Linked DNA regions of Lonchura striata. The protein of the gene in region 1 purifies or fractionates together with the protein of each later gene. This does not show direct contact. Links are inferred from orthologs where the notes say so. Each region holds a gene or a part of one and is shown on either strand. Other genes may lie near its edges.

The links. The genes of interacting proteins can lie anywhere in the genome.
Region 2: the proteins of MYCBP (region 1) and ARFGEF2 purify together in Homo sapiens (co-immunoprecipitation; 4 studies listed by BioGRID and IntAct, with this or other methods). This does not show direct contact. The link is inferred for Lonchura striata from reciprocal best matches to the Homo sapiens genes MYCBP and ARFGEF2.
Region 3: the proteins of MYCBP (region 1) and OTUD4 purify together in Homo sapiens (co-immunoprecipitation; 3 studies listed by BioGRID and IntAct, with this or other methods). This does not show direct contact. The link is inferred for Lonchura striata from reciprocal best matches to the Homo sapiens genes MYCBP and OTUD4.

Annotation. Positions count from the first base shown.
Region 1 is NC_134628.1:5,085,697-5,093,649, reverse strand, and holds the start of MYCBP (C-Myc-binding protein), read left to right. Parts: upstream 1-4,943; 5' UTR 4,944-5,005; coding exon 5,006-5,020; intron 5,021-5,219; coding exon 5,220-5,292; intron 5,293-7,541; coding exon 7,542-7,590; intron 7,591-7,953. Other genes in the region: GJA9 (gap junction alpha-9 protein), read left to right, coding at 1-1,420. UniProt on the Homo sapiens protein: May control the transcriptional activity of MYC. Stimulates the activation of E box-dependent transcription by MYC.
Region 2 is NC_134619.1:557,779-565,788, forward strand, and holds the start of ARFGEF2 (brefeldin A-inhibited guanine nucleotide-exchange protein 2), read left to right. Parts: upstream 1-5,004; 5' UTR 5,005-5,122; coding exon 5,123-5,261; intron 5,262-8,010. UniProt on the Homo sapiens protein: Promotes guanine-nucleotide exchange on ARF1 and ARF3 and to a lower extent on ARF5 and ARF6. Promotes the activation of ARF1/ARF5/ARF6 through replacement of GDP with GTP. Involved in the regulation of Golgi vesicular transport.
Region 3 is NC_134606.1:62,009,732-62,017,643, forward strand, and holds the start of OTUD4 (OTU domain-containing protein 4), read right to left. Parts: upstream 3,007-7,912; 5' UTR 2,884-3,006; coding exon 2,725-2,883; intron 1,198-2,724; coding exon 1,114-1,197; intron 1-1,113.

The DNA of each region.
Region 1 (7,953 bases):
AGTGGCAACCGAGGATGTTTGGAATGATGAACAATCAGAATTTATATGCAATACTGAGCAGCCTGGTTGCAGAAATGTGTGCTATGATGAGGCCTTTCCCATCTCTCTCATAAGATACTGGGTTTTGCAGGTCATATTTGTGTCTTCCCCTTCTTTGGTGTATATGGGTCATGCCTTATACAGACTAAGAGCATTGGAAAAAGAGAGGCAAAAAAAGAAAGCTCAGGTAAGGGTGGAACTTGAAAGCACTGAATTAGAAATGACTGAAAATCGTAAAAGACTGGAGAGAGAGCTCCGGCAATTGGATCAAAGAAAGCTAAACAAAGCACCCCTAAGAGGCTCTTTGCTCTGCACTTATGTCATACATATTTTCACAAGATCTGCAGTGGAAGTTGGCTTTATGATTGGGCAGTATCTTCTTTATGGTTTTCACTTAGATCCTCTTTATAAATGTCAGAGAGACCCATGTCCAAACACAGTTGACTGCTTTGTATCTAGACCAACAGAAAAGACAGTGTTTATATTATTTATGCAATCAATAGCAACTGTATCATTGCTTTTAAATATTCTAGAAATTATCCACTTAGGATTCCGGAAAATTAAAATGGGACTCTGTGAGCAGAATAAAAACAAAGATGACTCTGACCATTTCTACATAAACAAATCTAAGAAATATTCTGCGATACCACACTCTTCCTTGGGAATATCCACCACCCCTCAGAAAACACTTCCTTGTGCTCTTAGCAGTTATACCTTTTTGATGGAAAAGCAAACTGACACTATGCTCTACCCAGTTTTAAATTCTCCTTCTATGTTTCAGTCTGTGCAAAATAACCGTGCAGAAAGCAGCAGCAATTACACCCATTGCAATCAGGAAAATAAATCTCCAAAGAAGAGGCCAGCTACAAATGCTTTAGACAATCAGACTCAAAATGCTAGCACAAATAATAACGAAGGCTTTCTTGGTGAGCTTTGGACTGAGACACATGATGCACAAGAAGAGGCTGAAAAGAAACATTTTCTTGTTGATACTCAGAATGCAGATACTGCCTCAAACATGTACTTGAGAAGCTTTGCTGAGTTGCCAGGTCAAACTTCATTGCAACCTGGTACAACTTTTCCTAATGCCGGTTTTAGACGACAGACAATGGTTGAGGACACAGGAGCACTAACAAATTCTCTTCCAAAGAACAGGGACAGAAGACAGAGCAGTTTCAGTGTAAACAAAGCCCAAATTCCTTACAATGCTGATGGAAAAAATTCCAGCCGACCAGACACTTCTGATTCCATGGGGGTGGTGAGCTCAGAATCTACACAAAGCAGAAATTGGAATAGTCCTAAGCTTTTGTCTCTGTCTAGGCAACAGTCACTGTCAAGTAATGCCAGCAGTAGGCGTGCCCCCACTGATCTTCAAATATAGTGTGAGTTAACCCATTAGCTGCACTACCCAGTGCTGGGATAATTCCTGAACAGAGACATAACCCAGACCTACGTGTAAGTGCAGCTAAATAATTCAACTTTAGCCAGCTGTTTACATAGCTGTGTAACCCTTTGAATAGTAGCTAAGTAATTTTAAACAGTTTCTTTACTTCTTTTGTAATGAAAATGTGGCATAGATCTCAGTGTATAAACTTCTACATTCCAGCTAAAAAGGAAAACATACATCCTCTCAGCCCACATATTAGGAAAAAGGCATAAAATCACAGCTGGTACTATTAAAACCGAATAAAAGTAGGAGACAAAATTTACAGTCTAACAATATTTTTACAAAGACCAGTAAATCAAATTAGGTTAAAGATACTCTCAAAAGAATTTATTGGTAAACATGTCTCTGCCTAATCAGTGTGAGAATTCAAACAGACACTTGGTAGCTGACCAAAAGCAGAATGTCAAACTTATTCCACAGTTCAAGCTGTTGTAAATACAAAGAAAAAAAGCATTTGCAAAACAGATCACTAATTTGTTGGCTCCATGGTACTTTTTTTCAGTGTATCACCACTGACTACCTCAGCAGAAAAATCAAAGTGAATTTCTAATAGTATACTGTCAGAATTCAATACACCGCTATTTTTTTTAAACATCAGGAATTCCAGACATGTTGTGAGCTTTACTTTTGACATTTTTCATAACACTAATAAGATAGCAAAATCAGAAAACAATTTACTGAAATTTACTAATCAGACATTTTGATTTTCACAAACCAGAAGGTTTACTATGGAAAACAGAAAAAAAACTCCAAAAACAGAGAACCAAAAAAAGCAAATATGGTAGTACCTTCCTGATTTGAGTTACAATGTCAAAAGACATATAAAAGGTTTATCAAAGAGTAAAACTAGTCATTTTCTGTTTGTGTCTCCCCTGAATACTGATAAGCTTTTAAATCAAACAAAGGTCCTACCTGTTTAGGAGGAGCATTTGTGTTTATGCTTTTAATGGGGATAACAAAACATTAGGACATTTATCCACTTGCTGTTCAGGTCCATATGGTGTAAAGGAAGTTCCATGAAACATCTTGAAATTATAAAGGGGGCAAAGATGAACAAAATACTATGGTACATTTGTAATCAAGCTTTCCATGTATGGAATACATTTATTTGAGGTGCACAGCACTGAAACACTGTAAATACTTGGTGAGGTGGTCACAGCTGAAATGCATTAGTATTTTTTGTGTGTATTTCTTACTAGCAGATATGACATACTGTTCATCTGTTGAAAAAAATAATCTGTGAGATATAACATAATGATGTTACAGCACAATGAAATTCTTAAAGTGCACTGTCATTATACTTACCAACCAGCCATGTTTCAGATTGCCTGAAAACTGTACAATACTAGCAAAAAAGAAGCCAGAAAACCTAAACTGCTATTTTGCTTGTAGCAGCATTAAAGAAATACACATGAGAACTATTAAAACTATTTGCTGTAGGTTTCTTTCCTTTTCACTTCTATGTGTATACATAAATACATAATTGTGTTTACACTGTAAAATTTAAGGTCGTATACTATACTGGAACATACATAACTGTAATAGTGTGACTTAGGCAAGTTCATGCTGCTGCTGTGGCTTTGATTCTTGCATTTCTTGATGTGTAAAATCCTGTGGGCAATAACTGCTAATGCTTGTTTTGCATTTAATCTCTCCATAATAAAAAGCCTCATATTTAATGCACTCTGTTCCTGCTGTCTAAATAACAGAAAGTTAGCATTTAGATGTTCATGTATGGGACATGACATCTGTATTTTTGTTGTTCAAGACAAGTTAGAAATGAATTTTTCTGCTGCAGTGAGAGGAATTTTATTAACTTTTTTATGCCTGGATATGAGTCAGACATTTTGTTTAATCACAGCACCTTCCCAAATGAAGAGTAACCACTGAAAACTGCAAACATTGTGGAAGAGCATGGAAAAAAAGCATGAAAACTCCCTAACGTCATATGTGCAAGATCATTTGGTTGGTCTTTTTCTTTTAATTTTTAAAAATTTCTACAATAAATAGATTTTATCTGTCAGCGTTTCAGAAAAATAATCAGGTGTAACAGTTTCTTTTCTTTTTTTTTTTTTTTTTAAACAGGCTAGGGCAAAAGACTTTCGTCGCGAAGATTTCACCACTCTTCAATGCCTCACAGACCCTCTGCAGCCGCTGCTGGCTGCAACTTTCTCCTGTGATTTCAGTCAGCTGCAGCTACTGAAATGTATTAATCAGACACTTTGAATTTCACAAACCCGAAGGCTTACTATGAAAACCAGAAAGAACTCCAGCGACCCGCAGGACAGCTCCGCCCGGACCCCGCGGCGCGGCCCCGCTCGCCTTCTCCGCGGGGAGCTGAGCTGAGCCCCGGAACCGTCCCCGGCCAGGGGAGCAGGGCAGAGCGGGAGAGGAGGCAGGGCCGCGCAAGAAAGGGGGCACGACGCCGGGCTCGGCTTCCCCTCGGGCGGCAGCGGACGGCGAGGCCGCCCCGAGGCGGGCGAGGCCGCGCCGAGGGGAGCGGACCGCGCTGAGGGGAGCGCGGCCCCGCTGGGGGGAGCGGACCGCGCTGGGGGGAGCGGACCGCGCTGAGGGGAGCGCGGCCCCGCTGGGGGGAGCGGACCGCGCTGAGGGGAGCGGACCGCGCTGAGGGGAGCGCGGCCCCGCTGAGGGGAGCGCGGCCCCGCCGAGGAGAGCGCGGCCCCGCCGAGGAGAGCGCGGCCCCGCCGAGGAGAGCGCGGCCCCGCTGAGGGGAGCGCGGGCGGCGCTGAGGGGAGCGGACCGCGCTGAGGGGAGCGGACCGCGCTGAGGGGAGCGCGGGGGGCGCCGAGGGGAGCGGACCGCGCTGAGGGGAGCGCGGGGGGCGCCGAGGGGAGCGGACCGCGCTGAGGGGAGCGCGGGGGGCGCCGAGGGGAGCGCGGCCGCCCCGAGGAGAGCGCGGCCCCGCCGAGGGGAGCGGACCGCGCTGAGGGGAGCGCGGGCGGCGCCGAGGGGAGCGGAACGCGCTGAGGGGAGCGCGGCCCCGCTGAGGGGAGCGCGGCCCCGCTGAGGGGAGCGGACCGCGCTGAGGGGAGCGCGGCCCCGCTGAGGGGAGCGGACCGAGCTGAGGGGAGCGGACCGCGCTGAGGGGAGCGCGGCCCCGCTGAGGGGAGCGCGGGCGGTGCCGAGGGGAGCGCGGGCGGCGCTGAGGGGAGCGCGGCCCCGCCGAGGGGAGCGGACCGCGCTGAGGGGAGCGCGGCCCTGCCGAGGGGAGCGGACCGCGCCGAGGGGAGCGCGGCCGCCCCGAGGGGAGTGCGGCCCCGCCGAGGAGAGCGCGGCCGCTGAGGGGAGCGCGGGCGGCGCGCGGGCCCGGCGCGGCCGCTGAGGGGAGCGCGGGCGGCGCTGAGGGGAGCGCGGCCCCGCTGAGGGGAGCGCGGGCGGCGCGCGGGCCCGGCGCTGCCGCTGCCGCGGCGCCGTCGCCGTGGCAACCGCGGGGAAGCGCTCGCGCCGTTAAAGCGCAGGGCGCAGGCGCGCGGCCGGGGCAGGCGCCGTGCGGCTCAGATGGCGCACCACAAGGTAGGGGGGAGCGCGCCGGCGTGGGCGCGGTGCCGCTCTCCGTGCCGGCTGCGCGGAGCGGCGGGCCGCCGGCCGACCCCGGCTCGGCCCTTCGTGCCGCCTCTGCGGCGGAGAGCGGGACCGGCCTGTGCTAAAGGGCCGCCTCCGCAGTCGAGGCGGGGCGCGCCGCCGATCTGACCGTGTGGGCGTCCTCCCTCAGGCCGCGGACTCCAAGCGGGAGCAGTTCCGCCAGTACTTGGAGAAGTCGGGAGTGCTGGACATGCTCACCAAGGGTAAGTGTCCGGCTCGCGGCCGGCGGGCGCGCTCCGGGGCGTTGCGGGCGGGTGCCGTTCCTCGTTCCTCTCAGGCTGTCCCGCTCCCGCCCGGCAGCGTCTCGGCCGTCCCTCGGGCTGCCCCGCCGCTCTCCATGGGCTTCGCGCCTCGCCTCGCCGATCGCTTTTTCTCCTCAGTCCGGCGAGGCGGCCGGCAGAAGAACTCGCCTGGAGAACTTGGTGCGGCGTGGCCAGGAAATGGAGTCCGAGGTGCGCGGCGAGGCGGCGCACGCCGGGAGAGGGCAGCGGGCGCTGGGACCGGCCCTGCCCCGCACGCTCCCCGCGCGGGCGGCCGCTGCTGGAGGTGCGTGTAGAACGGCAAGGCTGCTCCTTTCCCCCAGTGTGTGCTGGAGACCTCTTCCTTCGGCCGAAGTGCTACTTTCAATGCGTGCCTTTGGGTCGTTTATTTTCTTTCAATGGGCGCTTTTTGTGAGGTTTTTCTACAGAGGAAGTCAGTGCTTGAGATGAAATAACAGCAAATGTTATTTTAAAAGAACTTTGTTTCATACCTTTTCTTGGATGGCACTGTTATGTGTAGTAAATATAATTCGCGCCATTCCTTGTATGAAATATGTAATATTAGATACTTGTTAGATTATGCCCGTTGTATTAGTTCCCCCCCTTTGCAGGTGAGACTGGGTGTATATTGGAAACTGATTTACAAGTGGCTCGGCCAGGAGATGGGCCATGGCTGGGCTCCAGGTGTTGATCATCGGTGCTGATCATCGCATGAATGGCCCGAGGTGGATATCATAGAAATCCTCAGACAGATCCATGTGAATGCAGCCTTCCCGTAAAATCTCATCAGGGATTCACCTACTTCGGACATTGAATTATTTCTCCTCATTACCAAAAAAAGAAAATCTTATTAACCTATGGACTCTGAATAGAAGAAAATCTTGGCCTCAGGCAGAATTTTCCCTATAAAAAACCGCTTGTGCCAGGATGGAGGTGTGTGGGCATAGGGGAGAACCTCTGCTGAGGCTGACTCCTTGTGGCACACCCAGGGCCAACCCCAGGCTCGGCTCTGTTCTTTCCTTGTGGCTGGCTAGATAGAATTTGACCGCTAATAAAAATTATTTTTATTTTTTAATCTGGCTGAATAAATTCTCATTTATAACAGCACTTAGTGCTTTTTTTTCTAGAATGAATGACACTAAGTTCTGGATTAATGACTCTCCATATCAAACTGGAGAAAATGATGATGCTCAACTTGACATGTGTGACTTAGTATTTTTGAAATCCTCCTAAAATCTTTTTGAGAACCTTCTAGTAGTATGTGGCAAAAAATGTGTTAATAATGAAAAAATTAATATTCTGCTAATATTGAAAATATGCTGTTTAAAGAGGGAGCAGCAGATCTAGGATGTCAAGTAAATAGCTGCTGCACTAAGACTCTTGGCCTGGTGTGTGAGTACCATTTGATTTTTCAATCGCAGTGCCATCCTATGGGATGGCAAAACAAATCTTCCAAGCAGTGAGGCAGACTAATTTTGCTTTTAACTTAGGAAGTACTTAGCTTAAAACCAGTTTGGCTGTGTAGCTCAAGACTTCTGAAACTGGCACATGGCCCCTGTGGGGAAGCAGGGAGTGGTTGTGATTGGGAACTTCCTGGGTGTTCATGTGACAGTCTCCCGTTATGTTGCTATGTAAATGGCTATTTTTATTTAAATTGTCGGGGTATTGCTGCTTTTCTCTGGCGGTTTTGGCCATTAGAGTCCCTACCCGTAAAAATTATCAGTGTCACCTAGCCGTGTAGTAGCTGTTTAGTTTTGTAACTGTAGATTATCAATGGAGGTTTGCTCTTCTGCTGGAAGTTACAAATCTGCTGATGTCTTGTGGTTTAAAGATGTAGCTTAAGTACAAGTTTTATGAACAATATAGTTAGAATTTCAGTCTTACTGGTAAAAGCTAGTACTAGGGTGCATGTGGCATATGTAAATTTTTTTTCAGGATGTTTTATGTTCTGTGCTAGAACAGCCAGAACACAATGTGGGGTTAGGGATCAAGAAAATTCTCTTTAGCTGTTACTAGGTGGAATGCTCTGTCCCCTCTGATACAGCAGACCTGTTGCCTATGTCAAAGTGTGCAAGTGAAAATCTTGTTAAATGGACAAATACAACATGTATGCTTTCTGACTGCTGATATGTGTTTAAAAAACTTAGAGTTGCATGAATTTCTTGCAATTGTTGAATATTTTCTATTTGCAGTGTTGGTAGCCTTATATGAAGAGCCAGAGAAACCAGATAGTGCACTGGAGTATCCTTTTCCTTTGCTGTGACTTATTTATTGAGACTTTATGCACAATATTGCTTCTGACTCATGGGTGGACTGGATGGATTCATTTCGATGCCTTGCATTGAGAACGTGACTTTTTTCAATGCATTTTACCTAATGATTGCATTTTCACAAGCTAAGAGAGTCTGACAGGATGCCAGAGGGCTGGGATTTCAGTATGCCAGCAATTATGAAGCTAAGTTATTGGCCATTTCAGTGTTGTAGACCTGCAGCTTTAGATCTGAGTACCTGCAGTGGCAATGGGTTCTGAAGTTTGCTTCTTCACACTTCCTTTTTTTGTTGTTTTTTATTTGTTTTTAAATACATGAAGAAGGGGGGGAACTA
Region 2 (8,010 bases), on another chromosome or scaffold:
ACATGAGTAAGGTCTATACTGTATGATAAAGCTAGGGACATTTCTTGATGGCACTCTGAGTTTCTTACAAGAAATTATGAGAAATAAAGATCAGATTAAAGGTTAGAGAGAAGGTCACATCATTTTAATTCCTCAAAGAGCTACTCATCTCTTCTGACTGAAGTTATCCTGATAGAAACCCACTACAATTGAAAACCAGGATCTTCTGTAGCTTAGTATTCCATTTCCTTTGTTTTTACTGAGTACAAGGTTTGTGTCAACAAAATCTGCCTCATTATACACTTGCCTAAGTGAAAAGCAGAGTGCTGTGCAAAGTAGGCTCTTCTGTGCACAGACACAATGTGAACAGCCAGGTCTGTGCCATTCAAATATACACAACTCCAACTAGCACTTGCTTCTGTGGCAAGTAAAGTCTCATTATCACCTCTCAGACAGGAAATTTGGAAGTGAGTGATTATCTAGCCCCAGGTCTTCCACCTCTCCAGCACCCCAGGGTGTGGGAGCTACTCAATTTCATTTGCATCTTTCCAAACAATTACACTTCTTGCTCTGCAGGCAAAAGCAGGAGTTGGCAAAAATATTTTCCCCAAATGCTCCTTCTCTCTGGCTGCTATCCTTTAAAAATAAATGCACTTTTGCTTTTTTCAAAACACGTTGTTTCTAATGTTTCTCTGTATGTAGGTAATTGCAGACTTTTGATATGGTTCTAAACACTGTAAAAGGAAAACAGAAAATTTCAAGCCTATGTTAAGCTATTAAAATGACTGTGTTTAGGGCTGCTGCTCATCAGAAACACACTCTGCTACCAGTGAGAGCAGTGGCTGTTCAGTAATATGGGCCACAAAGGCAATAATTTTTGAATATGTGAACACTTTGATTTAAGTCTGACCTTCAGATTCTGTTGCATCTCTGCTTGTCTGAACACTGTTATATTCCTTACCATCCTCTTATGGTTACATATTATTTGATCCCATAACAAGGAACAGAGGCTGCAGTTCAGCATCGAAGGGTCTTTGTCTGCTTCTGTCCAGTACACGTGATTTATTGTGATACCTTCATGTGAGTCTGGTACCACAGCGGATCTCAGGATTGGCTCCTTCTGCCAGGACAAGTGAAAAAAAATCTCTAACTTGGTGTTTATTGAAAGGTCAACAAAAAAAAAAATTAATTTAACAAAATTATTGTGTGGGATAAATATCTACTTTCTTTGGACAGGCTGCCGATTCTTTGAAATGTGAAAAAAATGAAAACTGCAGATTTGGGGTATTGCCAAAGTATGTATTCCAGATTTTTTAATAAGAAAGTTCAAGTTCTCTTTTGAGAGAGAGAGAACTGCAAATCTGATCTATTCTGATGGCTTTATAAGGAAAGAAGAATTTAATTTGTATTTACTTAAAATTGTATAAATCTCACTTATTTGAAATACTGCTATTATCCTTTGTAACTTACTTCAAGGTAAAATATTGGGTTAAAAAGTAAATCCCAGCAGTGAGCAGGTTTGAAAGCCAGTGGTGGCTGCAGCACCGCAGGGCTGGCAGTGGTGCAGGTCTGTCAACGGTGCAGGGCTGGCAGCGGTGCAGGTCTGGCAGCGGTGCAGGGCTGTCAATGGTGCAGGTCTGGCAGCGGCGCAGGGTTGGGAGTGGTGCAGGGCTGGGAGCAGTGCAGGGCTGGGAGCGATGCAGTGCAGGGCTGTGATGCAGGGCTGGCAGTGATGCAGGGCTGTGATGCAGGGCTGGCAGTGGTGCAGGTCTGTCAACGGTGCAGGGCTGGCAGCGGTGCAGGTCTGGCAGCGGTGCAGGTCTGGCAGCGGTGCAGGGCTGGCTGTGGTGCAGGGCTGGCAGCGGTGCAGGGCTGGCAGTGATGCAGGGCTGTCAGCGGTGCAGGGCTGGCAGCGGTGCAGGGTTGGGAGTGGTGCAGGGCTGGGAGCAGTGCAGGGCTGGGAGCGATGCAGTGCAGGGCTGTGATGCAGGGCTGGCAGTGATGCAGGGCTGTCAGCGGTGCAGGGCTGGCTGTGGTGCAGGGCTGGCTGCAGCAGCTCCTGCCCAGCCTGGCCCAGCTCGGTGGACAAGCAGCTCCAGTGCCTCTCCTGCCAAGTGATTTTTCTTTTCATCTCATGACATTACACAGTGCTGTTTAGATATATTGTCTGTCCTTTTCTCACATTACAGGGCTTCTCTGGCTGGAGTGCAAGGTCTGTGTGAGCCTGCTGGCAGTAAGATGGTCAGAAGACACAGAAGGTCTCAGACTGGGATTTGAAGAAAATAGTGGGAGTGAAAGGGAGAGCATTGTCTATACACATCATGGTGAAATGCCTCGCTAATATCACAGAAATACTTGAATAATTACTCACTTAATAGTTATCTCAATTATATTGCTAGCAGTGGAAGAGCGCTTTACTATGTGGATTTACTGATTTTAGAGCATGCAGTGTTGAACTGGAAAAAATTAGAGAGTTGAGACAGTGAATCAAATGATGATACCCCCCCGGGGAAATCCACAAATAAGTACATTACTGGACAGCAGGAAAAGTGGCTGGAAGCCAGGCAGAATAAATAGGATCAGTCCCAAAGGAAATTATTAAAAATAGGCAGAAGTAAAAGAAGTTCTATGCTAATGCTGGACTGGGAACCAAGCTACTATACAGACCAGTACTGGTTTTCCAAGAATTTCCCATTTCCAAGAATGTCCTTTCTGCATCTATTTTTAGACTGTGGTTTCCTTCCTAAAACAAGCTATGTAGCAACATGCCAGTGGGAAAGTGCTGCGAGGTTAGTCCTGTGAGTCAGTACAGAGCACCTGGCCTCTGGGCAGAAATCCAGAGCAGCTTCTTGCCAAGGAAGTAGCTTGTACAAATTGAACTCTGTCCACCTGTTCGGCATTGTTTGCTCATGATTTATGTCTCGCACTACAGACGTATTTGCCACAATGAGCTATTTACAGCAGTTTAATAGTAATCGTTGGAATTGGCATGGAACGCACTGGCAAGCACATGCATGAGATACGTGTATTTCTTCCCCCTTGCTCTGCCTCCTCTCCCACTGAAAGGCTTTCTTTCTTTGTCTGCAGCCAGCGGCACACATCACGCAGCTCCGCTCTGCAGCACGGTGCTGCGCTCAGCAGCAGCACTGCACTGGCTATGCTGCTCTTGAATTAGCCAAATGACTCACATTCTTCCCTCAAAATCAGCTACTGTAATCTTTAAAATACTCTGAGGAAAAGAATCTTTGAAACTAGTCGTAAGAATGACATCAAGGCCATTATTCTTCCACTGAGTTTAGTTCTCCGTGACGGCAGCGTAAGGAGAGCACTGTGTGCGGAGCAGGCCTCTTGGACTTCAGGACGGTCTGTCTCTCGTGGTGGAGACATCGTGTGGGCTGGGAGACACTGAGGCATTATGCCATGTGCTGGAAGCCCAGGTGCATTTGGTGTTCAGGTAAAAGAAGCCCTTGGCTATAACCAAACTTCAGCTAGGGGAGCATGCCACGCAGCAGCTCTGCGTTCTTCATCTGCCGCTGGCATCAGAGCTCGCTGAAAAACCGAGGCCTGCTACTGGCTCTTGGCTCTTTGAAATCCAAACCACAACCCCAGTGTAGCCCTACACCTATGAATTCAGATAGTACTCTGTGATTTCAAAAACAGGGGGCTTACCTGATAGAAAATTTTTTAAAATCTCCGTTAAACCATCTGTTCAATCTGTTTTCTAAAAACTAGCCTGTATCCATTTGCTTCTCTCCTGAGAACTAATCCTGTCCCACGATAAAAACCCTAAAATCAGAACTGATAATTTGGCTGACAATATGTGAAGAGCTCTGCTGCTTAATTAGTTCTGCAATGCTGCTGACAGTAATTACAGCCTCCTTTTGTGTCAATAACTAAGTCAGCAACTCTCAAAAAAGATTCAGGGCCTTGTTTGTCTTTTAGTAATGTCACTTTTGCATCACTGTAATTTCAGTGATAACAGTAAAATTACCCTTAATGTGCAGTAGAGTAAGTGAAAGGAACATCTAGATGTATACCTTGGGGGTTGGGTTTGCAGTCACATTTTTGATTTTAAAAATATGTGTCAAAAATTACAAGCACTGGTCAATTTTCCCTGGGAAATAATACTAAACTGATGCTTTGCACAGGTGTTTGGAGCTTTTGTTAGTGGTTTTGGGGACAAGAATTGCAGCTCTTGACAAAGCAACACTGAAGATTTATTGATGTCATTTTACAGAGTTAGAGTCCTGCTGTTTGAGAAAAAGGAAGCAAAACTGCAATCTGGAGAACTGAATGTGCTCCTGTATTCCCCATTAGATGTGGCCATCTGAATTTGAAGGAGACCTTTGTGGAATTTCATGGAAGAGCTGTCTGTGCACAGTGATGGTTAGCAGAACAAGGAGGGTGCAATGGAGGAAATACGGATTCTTGCCACATGGTGCTGATGGAGTAAATATGGTTTATTGCTGCACGGTGCCAATAGGGTAAATATGGATTGTTGCCATATGGTGCCAATGGAGTAAATACAGATTATTGCCCATGGCTACCGGCTTTGGAGCCCCGAACCGGGTTTCAGCTGTGAGGTGCTTTACCTAGGCAAAGGGGAAAGGGAGAAGATTCAATTAGGTATAAGGTTATTTATTAACAGAGAGTTCATAGCTGTGACTGAAAATTTCATTTTTAGTGAGTCCTCATTAGTGTACGACTTGGCTTTTTTAGATGTGCTCTCTCTGCATGCCTCGTTACAGGACTGTGTGAGAGTTAACAGGGATAATGCGAATGGCGAGATACTTAGGTCAGAAGCATTATAAACCCGACTATTCCCCCAACGCGACAGTAAATCACATCCCGGGCAGTAATTGACAGCTTCCCTCGGGCCTGGCCGGGCCCGCCCCTCAGGCAGGCCCCGCCCTCGGCCCCGCCCCGCCCCTCAGGCTGGCCCGCCCCGCCCCTCAGGCAGGCCCCGCCCTCTGCCCCGCCCTCGGCCCCGCCCCCGGCACGCGCGGCCCCGCGGGCGGGGTCAGGGCCGGCCGCATCACGTGACGGTGTCAAGATGGCGGCGCCGTGGCGCGGCCGCTGAGGGAGGCGCGTCCCTTCCGGGTGGTGTCGCGGGCCCGGTGCTCGTCCCGCTCCCGGCCCCGTCATGCAGCCACCGGCTCACGAGCAGGACGCCCGCACCAAGAGCATGTTCGTGTCGCGGGCGCTGGAGAAGATCCTGGCGGAGAAGGAGGCGAAGCGGCCCCCGCACGGGCAGCTGCGGACCGCCTGCCAGGTGGCGCTGGGTGAGTCGGCCCGGCCCGGCCCGGCCCGGCCCGCACGGGGCACGGCGGTGAAGGGGCCCGGCCCTCCGCACGTGTCCCCTCCGCCTGCCGTCCCGGGAGGTGCGGGAGAGCCTCTCGGGACCTTGGGGCGGAGGGAGAGCTCTCTCTCCAGTACAGGACGTGCAAATACGCGGGGAAAAACCCCAAATACCCGTTTTATTAAGTTCTGGTCTCGGTGTGAAACAGGAGGGACTTGGTTTTGAGAGCCACTTCGGTTTTGAGAAAATTAATTGTAACTTTTCGACTAGGAAACAAGAGTTTTTAAGTCCCGGAGCTTCTCGGGATGTCAGATATGACCTGATCTCCAGGTTGTGTTCGGACTGATTAAGGACTGTTAGCATTGTAACCAAATGCCCGTATAATATCTGTGATGTTTTCAGAGCTGAAATCGCTTTTTGTGAAATTTGTGGACTGCTCCTGAAATCTGCAAGTACAAGCTTATGCAAAGATCTCTGTGGTAAAAGTTCTGACAAAACGGTGTGTCACAGAGAGGGAGAAGATAAACCAAGTAGAACAGTAGAGCTCTGAAGCTGGAGCTCTCTCTGGCCCTTTCTTAATTTGCAAAAATGACATTTTCAGTTTTGGTTGCATCCCATCAATATTTTCCTTGGAATTGGGAACATTTAGTGTATGCAAGACAGAAAAAAGACAGGTTGGGTATGTAAGGAGGCTGGGCAGGTGCAGGTCTGGCCTGGACAGAGTGAGCTTAAAGAAATGCTGTCATTTTTATCTTCCTCCCAGCAGTCTTTACTGCCAGGAGATCTGTAGGAGCTCTCTGTAGTGACAGTATATCCAGAGAAGGGTAACCAGACAGAAGAGTATTTGAATTATTACTTGAAGTTGGCATTGTGAGCAGCAGAGCAACACATATGCCCCAGCAGCTAGGGTCTGTTTTTCCTAATGAGTTCCTTTTCCTGATCTCCTCCCCAGCTGCCCCCACACGCACTGAACCCACGTACAGGGCAGAGAACCTGTTTTGCTGCTATATAAACATATTTAGAGGCTGAGAAGGGGAACTTCCTTCTCAGGTGCCTGGTGAAGGTCTGTGTTTGCTGAGGCACTGCAGACGATGATTTTGAGAGGAGTGTTGTGCAATGGCCCCTGTTGGCACCTGCCACTGGGGCTGTGGCTGTGCCTGCATGTTCTGAGGTTGTGTGTTGGAGGGGAGATAATGCTTGTCATGGTGCATGTAACAAACTTGCTTTGAAAAGGAGCCCATGGACTTTTCTGGACTAAAGCAGAGGTCAGCATAAAGAGATAACCTTCTGTTGACCAACGGTTAGGGGCCTGGATGACTGTATGGGAGGATCTCTGTTATATTTGGTGAATATTACTTGATCATTATAGGTTGCCAATAGGAATGGGGATTCTTTTATTTACATGTGATTTTTTTTCCCCAAACTTTGTTCTATTTTGGTTAAGCCTTTTTTTTTTTTTTTCTTAAATGAAAAAATCTGTTTTATTTCCATATACTTAATTTTAATTAAGCATATAATTTGTATTAACTGAGACTATGACAATTCCAAAAGTGTCCACTTAATTTTCAAGCTCTGTGCAATAGTAAATATGTGAGGAAATGTGGCAAGAATGTTACTGGCAGAGTGAAGAATTCAGGCCAAACTTTGTAACCTACAGAGGCTGTCATGGATGAAAGAAGCTTCAGTATTATGAATAATAATAAAAAGTGCAGTTAACACTGAATAAAAATAATTCTGTTTGAAAGAAATGTAGTTACTTTTTGAAAGAGGTCATTGTGTCAGCTGCACTTTTCTCCAAGTTATACTTAGAATAATCCATTTCTACTTCTTACTAAATCCCTTTTGCTGTGCAGTCTTCTCTATGCCATGGTGTTTTTATTCAAGCCTTGTGGCATTGTGCCAATTATAAACCAGGAACACAGGCATGGAGCATGTGTAGCTGATATCTGCTCCTGGGACTAGGAAAGTCTAAGATGAATTTTTTTTTTCCCAAACAGGGAGAAACTGGTGTATTCTACAGCTGCCTAATAGAAATGAGCCAGTTTTTATGGCTTCTGCTATGGTGTTACTGCAGTAATGTTTCTATTACTTACCTATGCTTTACATTTGTTGTTTGGTGAGAGAGAAAAGTTTCTATGAGAATACTTGTTTTCTTACATGACTTGTGTATTGGTTTGTACATATAACTCCTAAGAATTTAAGTAAATTACTACTGAATGTTGCTGTCTCTCTTGTGTAGAGGTATTATCTAATTCTTATTTTAATCTGCTTTAATTTTTCTAAATTTAAAATCTTCTCACCCTTTTTTCCCCTGTAATTCGGTCCTTTCACTGGACTAATACTGATCAGTTTTGGACTACAGAATACACATGACCTTGTAGAAATCAGAAGAACATAGGTAGGTGCGAGTAGGACAGAAATGCACAGTATGCAAGTATGGAGGAAATGGAGCAAAACCACTTCACAGTGGTGGTGTTTTGGGTTCTTTGCTTCTTTTCATGCCTTCCTTTGAAATAGACAGCATTAATGTTAAGTAAGCAGAGTTTGAATAGATTCTTTCATTCAGTCTCTTGCTTCATCAGTAGGTGTAACGGTTGTCTCTTGTCTCCTCTAGTTGTAGTGCCAGTAAACCCCAGGAGAGAGTGGGAGAAATGGAGGGTTTTAAACAGAGAAGCTGTTCTGCTCTGCTTTAGAAAACTGTGTTTGAAAGAAAATTTGTTTTCAACAGACCA
Region 3 (7,912 bases), on another chromosome or scaffold:
AAAAGGGCATGGAATTTCACAACACTACACAATGGAACAAGAGAACAGAAGTAGAGAAGCAGATATTGGAATGAGCAGGGTAATTCTAGAAAGGGATTAAAAAGTCAGCAGTGAGAAAATGAAGTAAGAAGAGAGACATCCAAGAGTTAGAAACAACCAGAAGGAGTCAAGTCAGAGCAGCACCGTCCCAGAGAGATCTGCTGTATTTTATATCACTAATTCCTGATAACTTCCACATTTATGTGATCACTCATATTAGAGCTGAGGGGGTACTATGTCAGAAATTACAGCACAAAGACACACCTTTATTCCTACCTTCCTTCTCTTCCCTATGCCAGCGCATACATAAAACAGTCTTTGTATTTTGGGTCTGGGTAAATTTAGAACAGAAAAAAAGTGTAATAATCTTCTAGTAACAAATCCTCCCATACTCACTCTCCCTTGAGACTCCCCTGTCTCAACTATTTCTGTCCTGGAAATCAGGTAACAGTATATACACTAGAACCCATACAAACAGAAGCACCATTATTGATCAATGTGCTTTTAAAAGGAAGGAAAAAAAAGTAATCTGTAATGTAAACACCAACAGCATTGACCAACTATAATGAATATCAAAATATTTTGCATCCATGGTTGATGAAAAGATTAGTTACAGATGTTCAGGGAAAAAAAAACCTACAGTGCCAATGCATAATAAACTGCAGACCCTGAAAAAAATTTCACTAATCTCAGTTAAATCCCTTATATACTGGAAAAGCAATTAATTAGCACAGCAAGAACATTTTATTACTTTACTAAAAGCAGGCATTACACTGAACTAAAATCCTGATTATAGTAGCTTCAGTATAGACTATTGAAGATTAAGTTTGCTTTTCTTTCTTCATAAGCATTCAAAACTTCTCCCACATCACTCCAGTCCATGAAGTAGACAAGCCTCTCCAGGCTTTGGAAAATGAGTTACTACCACATATCTGCTAATTAACTTAAATAGCACCAACTGGTATTTAGCTACAATGAATACTGCCACAAACACAGGGAAGTGCAGAATATACCAAAGTGGAAGGAATAAAGTAACTTTTCTTAAATGCTGACAAAGAAAACAAAAATACTTACTGCTTCAAATTTCTCCCTATTTTTCCGAAGATAGTCTACACAAGCCATCCTAACATCAATGTGTCGAGACTGAGAGTGCAACACCTACAAAGGGAGAAAGAGAACAAGGTGACATTGGATCTCAGGAGTTTTGATGACAGGCCACAAATAATTAATGACTGCTGTCTAAATACAGGCTTGGAAATACTCTAGCTTTATTTTTAAGAATATTTAATATGCATACTCATTCAGCAGCAACATCTTCAGGCAAGTCAAACCTCAATTACTTAATAAAAAATTAAGTAACTGCAGAATTCACAGGTTTGCTAAATTCAAACCTTCAATTTTATGAGGATTTACAAAGCAAATGAATATCATTTATTGTTAATCTTTAACTGCCTCCTTTGTAAAGGACTTCAGTTAATTGAAGGAAGTTACAGCAGGAATGGATGAGGAAGCCTACCAACATGCATTCATTCAAACAAAATCCAACCAAGTCTCACAGTGCATGTTTACCTTCTCCTCAAGAGGCGTGTTGGCCAAACACTTTTTTGGAAGCCAGGAATTCAGTTCCCTGAATATGACACCTATCTACCTCCCATTCAAATCTCTACTGGAAAACTATAATTTTCATCACATGTTACAAGTTATCTCAGTACAACCTAGAGAAGTCCCAGACAATTTAAGCTGCAGTGTCTCTTGCAGTCCTTACAAACCACCCTTAAAATAAATCACTTCCAAATTCAGTTTTTATGAATGAAGAGAACACAAATGAGACCAAATTTGCAGATAAACACTTAATAACTCTGAATTAAAGACCTTACTTTCTTAGAGGTCATTTCCAACCTAAATGATTCCATAATAAGATTGGGATGTTAAAAACATAATAGCTGAAATAAGTTTTATGAACACAGAAGTGTGAGAGAAACTTTCTAAGTATTAATTAAAAAGTCAGAATAGCAATATATATTTTATATATATATATTCTCTTGAGACAAAAACCCCCACCCACTTCCAATGAATAGTGTTTGCTTGCCTGAACTTATCAATTCAGTGGGGAAAGGAATTTTTTTTTTTTAAGTGATCTGTGTATAATTAGCACAGGAATCTGGGTTCCCACAATCAGAAGCACCAGAGCTCCCACTGCTGTTTGCTTGTACTTAAGACAAGATGACGCTGTCGCTTTTTTTCCTTTAACATTAACACTGAAATGGGGGAGGGGAATTCAACAGGAAGAACAGAAAATAAATTACTCACTTTCTCTAATTTTACAGTCAACTAATTAACAAAACTAAGAACGTGTCTTTTCAGCTCTAAATTCCTTTTCCTAGACAATCTCATACCCAGCAGTTGTATTTCGATGTTGAGATCTTACACTGAAAAAAGCTCTGAGGAGGCGGTGGAAGGTCAAAACAGATAAGGATTTCTTGGTGGCAGGAGGCAGCTGAACACCCGTAACTTCTCTCACCTCGCAAGGTGGAAATTATTTTTATAAAGTCACGTTTCTCACTGGCACATGACTGCACAACCCTAACCTATACCTGTCTGCGTTTTAACACTAATTACCACCCACTAATGAGATCCGCTTCCCATGCTTTCGTGAGAAGGAGCTTTGTTTATGTAACCAGTTACCTGCTCGGCCACAGCCCTGAAAAGGCAGGAGCCATCCTTGGCCACTTTCTTCCTGTACAAGCCCTGAGATCGCAGGTAGCGGTCCATGGACGTGTCCCCGGGAGCGTCGCTGCCGGGGTGGCTCTGCTCCCCTCCGCCGGCCCTGCCCGCCGCATCCATGCTCACCGAGGAGACCGCCGCACCCTCCTAGTCCCACATGGCGAGGAGAAGCCTCGGCGCAGCTCCGGGGCCGGGCACAGGTGCAACAGCCGGAGCGGGGGGCAGCGCTGGCCCGCCGGCAGCCGCAGGAGCAGGAACGGGAGCGGCAGGAAGAGCGGCAGCCGGCTTCGCCTTGTCCACTCGCATGTGGGGAGCGCGGAGAGAAGCGGCGAAGTTTCCTGCGCGGCCCGGACCCGCGGCTGCCCGGCCGCTGCGGAGGGCCGGGGGCAGCTCCGGCGGGTCCCGGTGCGCGGGGAGCGGGCGCGTCCCGGGCGCACGGCCGGCCTGCGGGCGGAAAACAAAAGGGAAAGGAAGGACACGTGCGGCCCGCCGGGAGGGAGAGAGGCGGAGGGCGCAAACAGGAGCGTAACCTGGCGCTTATTTTCACTTTCAGCCCGGGCGCTGCTGGGAGCCGTAGTCCCGGAGGAGGAGGAGGAAGCAGGAGGAGGCGGACACAGCGCCCGGGGCCGGGCTGTCAGCCTTGCTCCCGGTCAGGATCATTCCATTGCTTCTTAGAACCAACACCGCGGGAGTGGCTGGTGGAAAACTCGGCATAAGCCGGCAGTGTGCGCTCGCAGCCCACAAAGCCAGATGTAACCGGGCTCAATCCAAAGCAGCGTGGGCAGCAGGGCAAGGTGGGGGGGACTCTCTCCCCTTCTGTTGCCCTCTGCTGAGACTCCACCTGGAATATAGTGCCCAGCTCTGGTGCTCCCAGCACAACAACATGGAACTGTTGGAGCAAGTTCAGAGGAGGCCACGAAGTTGATAATGAGACTGGAGCACCTCCCCTACAAAGACAGGCTGAGAAAGTTTGGGCTGTTCTGCCTGGAGAAGAGAAAGCTGCATGGAAAACAAACAACAAGCTTCCAGTATCTGAAGGAAACCTAAAAGGAAGCAGAAGGACTCGGAACTGTGATGGGACAAGAAATAACAGACTCAAACTCACAGGGTGGAAATTTATGTTAGATATTAGGAAGAAATTCTCTACTGTAAGAGTAGTGAGACACTGGAGCATGTTGCCCACAGAAGCTGTGAATGCCCCATCCCTGGAAGTGTCCAAGGCCAGGTTGGACAAGGCCTTGAGCAACCTGGTCTAGTGAGAGGTGTCCTTTCACAGGGAAGTGGAGTTGGGACTAGATGATCTTTAAGGTCCATTCCAACCCCTTAACGTTCTATGATTCTGTCTGATATCTAATCCACAGTATGTGCAGTATCTGTGTCTAGGTAGGTTTTATTTGGTTTGGGGTTTCCCCCCAACAGATGAGATTGTAAGATTATTTTTTAACTCCATCCACTTGCAGGAAAGAAGATGAAAATAAAACTGAGAGAGTAAAAGAGGGCTTGATTGAAAATGGGATTTTAAAAAGCCACTGCCTTTCAATACTCCTAATGTATTAGGTTTTTTGCATGCCACTCCTAGTTGTAAGAAGCCTAAACATTTGTATCACAACCGCATGATTAAATTTTGCTTGGCATTATAAACAGGATTTAGAAGGTTTTGATGCAAAAATGTGACAAGGAAGGATGCTCTTCAAACTTGTAAGGCAACTTGAACAGAAACCCTGATTATTACTTTCAGCTGATAGTAGTAAGCCTAGGGAGGGTGGTGACTTGAGATCCTTAGGTAATAATAAGTAACTTATTAAATAAACACAAGTTACAAGCCAACCCAAGTCTAGTGCTCCACCAGCACCACACCGTCTCTAACAGAAGCTCAGGTTTGCCAGAAAGGAATAAGAAACAAATGCCAGTTCCTCATATCTCTGTATCTGTAGACAAGGAGAACAGAAAGTGAAAGAAGTGAAAGCAAAGCTCTACCCGCAGTCAAGCCTCCAAGACACAGTGAGGCAGCACAAGGATCGACGTTTTAGACACGGAAGAGGATAAAAATACCAGCAAGGGGCTGGAGGGAAAGCTCCAGCTTCTCCCCAGAAGATGGGAAACCTCATCTAACAAGGCTGAACTATAAACAGTTGCTGCCACTGACTCAGCTACCACACTCACTCAAGGAACTCAGGGCAGCAGTCCTGCATGTGAGAGCTACTTCTTCTGTAGGGAAAAATAATTTGGAAAGATACTTTTGAGACATATCATACTGGTGTCCAGTTACAGAGTTTCTTAGGAATATCCAATTTTTTCCTCACTCTATTTGTCATGTTTAAAGGCAGAACTGTGCTCTAATATTTAACAAATCTGTCTTCTCATATATTTCAGCCTTTTGTCATTGTGATTCTAAAGGCTGGTGAGGGGAAGGGCAAATGCCTTTCATCACATCTGTTAGACTCAAGAATGCCTATACACACCAGGCCATTCAGTATGTGACAGGATGTAAATGTGATTCTGATAAGTGAATACACAGCAAATTAGAGCATTAAAGTCGTCTAGTTGTCAGTGTTCTAAAATCCTGTTCCTCCTGCAATCAGCCCCTGAAGCTGACCAAGTGATGATCACCCACAGTTTTTTCCAAGTGCTACTATACAAGAATGAATCAATTTCTAAAGATTTTTAGTTCTCAATGAAGAAATCTACTCTGTACACATACTTGCTAAGGCTCAAGGAGAAATGCATCCACCAAAGGCACCTGAAACACCTCAGCATTACAATAAATGCTCCATTAAGATAAGAATGACCAAATTATAATTCACGAGTTATTACAGATGTTCTAACTACAGTTCCTACATATGCTCTAATTAGAGTTAATGCAGATGTTCTAATTAGCCGGCAGCTTTATTAACACTTTCGCCCAGCACTTATACCACGTGCATCAGCTCCAGCCACGAGTTTCTCCTCTCACTGCCCCTACCCTGAATCAGCCCAGGAAGCTGACTCAAGCCGAAAAAAATTCTTTTCAGGGAAGAAAAAAAAATAGATCTAACTTTATCTTTAAACCAAGATTGGTTTTGTGATCCAGGTCACGGCCTGCCTGTCCCAACACCTGGGCCAGCAACCTTGGGGAGAGCAGCCCGGTGCTCGCCGGCCTCGCGCGCCCTTTCCCGGTTCGCCACGCGCCCTCTCCCACCGCAGCTCGGGCACGGGCGGCCCGGCGGGGCAGGCCGGGGACAGGCACCCGGGCAGGGGCGGCCCCCGAGCCGCGGCCGCTGCCCCGCCGTGCCCCGCCCGCCGCTCCGGCACCGGCACCGCCGCCGCCGGGGCCGCACTCCCGCTGCCGCCGGCCCATGGCACTTACCGGCCCCCTCCTCCTATTCTCCTCCCCGCGGGCGACGCTGGCAGTGCCGGCAGCACTGACGCTCCTCGCCCCGCCGCGGCCTCGGCACTTCAATCTCCCGCGGCGGCCGCTCCGCCCGCTTCGCTCCTGCGGATGCACCCGCTGCCAGCCCCGTCCCGTCCCGCCCTCCCGCCGCGCCGATCCCCCCCCGCCCGCTGTTGGTTTGTCCCGCCGGCCACACCTGCGGCTCGCACCATTCACCGCGCGGGGGGGCGCCGAAGCGGGGGAAGAGGAGGCTGGGGAGAGCGCCCGGGCGCCGGGGCAGCGAGCCGGATGTAGCGCTGGGATGCTGCGTTGGGTCCGGCCCTGGTCGGCTCGGAGGAGCCGGATGGTGCCGAGGCGAGCGGCAGTGGCCTCATGTCGTCCTCACCCGTAAAGCCCGCAGTGGTACAGCCGAGGAACCTTTCCTTCCCCTCACCCAGCAGGTCCCAGCGAGGGGCGGGAATTGCCATGTGCCAGCGCTTCCCTCGGCTGTGCAGCCCGGCTGAGCGCCCCGCTCCGCCTGTGCGGCGCAGCGCGAAGCGTTTCTAAGCGTGTTCCTGACGGGGCAGTGTTCTTCTTAGTGAGGTGGCAGCCCGGGGAATAGGTTGGGATAGCACAGGGGACACCCCGCGTCACGCTGGCCGCAGGGATCACGCCACAGAGGTCGGAGGGGACGCCCCAGAGAGACACGGGTTGGAGGGGACTTCCACAGCTGGTTGTGCTGCCAGAAGGAGAAGTTGCTGAATTACGCCCTCGGTTCGTGCGTGCTACCACAGTAATTGTGTGTGTTTCTGAAATGTAACCATATACAGAGAGTGCATTCTCATATTCCGTTGCTCTTCCTCGGAAATGCTCTAGCAGACATGAAGAAACGTGTGAGATGTTTGTAAAGAAGTAGTGGGAAGGTTGTGAGAAGAGTGAGCAAATGTGCAGCAAATAGAAATTCGATTTTTTTTTTTTTTTTCCCTGACTAAAAAGCTTATGCAGGATGGGAACTCAATAGCAGCATGGCCAGCAGGGCAAGGGAGGGAATTCTGCTACTCTGCTCTGCTCTGGTGAGAACCCACCTGCAGTCCTGCATCAGCTCTGGGGTCCCCAGCGTGAGAAATTGTGGGAGCAAGTCCAGAGGAGGACCATGGACATACTCAGAGGATTAGAGCACCTCTCCTTTGAAGACAGGCTGACAGGATTGGGTTTTTCAGTCTGGAGAAAGTGCTGGGGAGACCTTGCCTGTAGCCATTCAGTACCTAAGAGGGGCTACAAGAGAGCTGCAGAGGGATTTTTTACAAGGGCCTGTAGCAAGAGAACAAGGGGACATGGCTTTAAACTGAAAGAGGGTAGGTTTATATTAGACAGTAGGAAGAAATTCTTTACTCTGGGGATGGTGAGGCATTGGCACAAGTTCTCCAGAAGAAGGTGTGGATGCCCCATCCCTGGAATTGTTCAAGGCCGTGTTTGATGGGACTCTGGGCAACCTCATCTAGTGGAAGGTGTCCCTGCCTGTGGCAGAGGTGCTGGAACTGGAACTCCTTCCAGCCCAAACCGTTCCATGATTCTGTGAGTCAGCTGTCCCGGCCATGCTCCCTCCCAGCTTTTCATGCACTTCTCCCTCACTGGCAGAGCATGAGACACTGAAAAGTCCTTGACTAAGGGTAAGCACTACTTAGCAACGAGCAAAACATCAGAGTATTTTTCTCATACTGTATCCAAAACAGAGCACTGTACCAACTACTTGAAAAAAAAAAAAAAATGAACTCCATCCCAGCCAAAACCAGGACATCA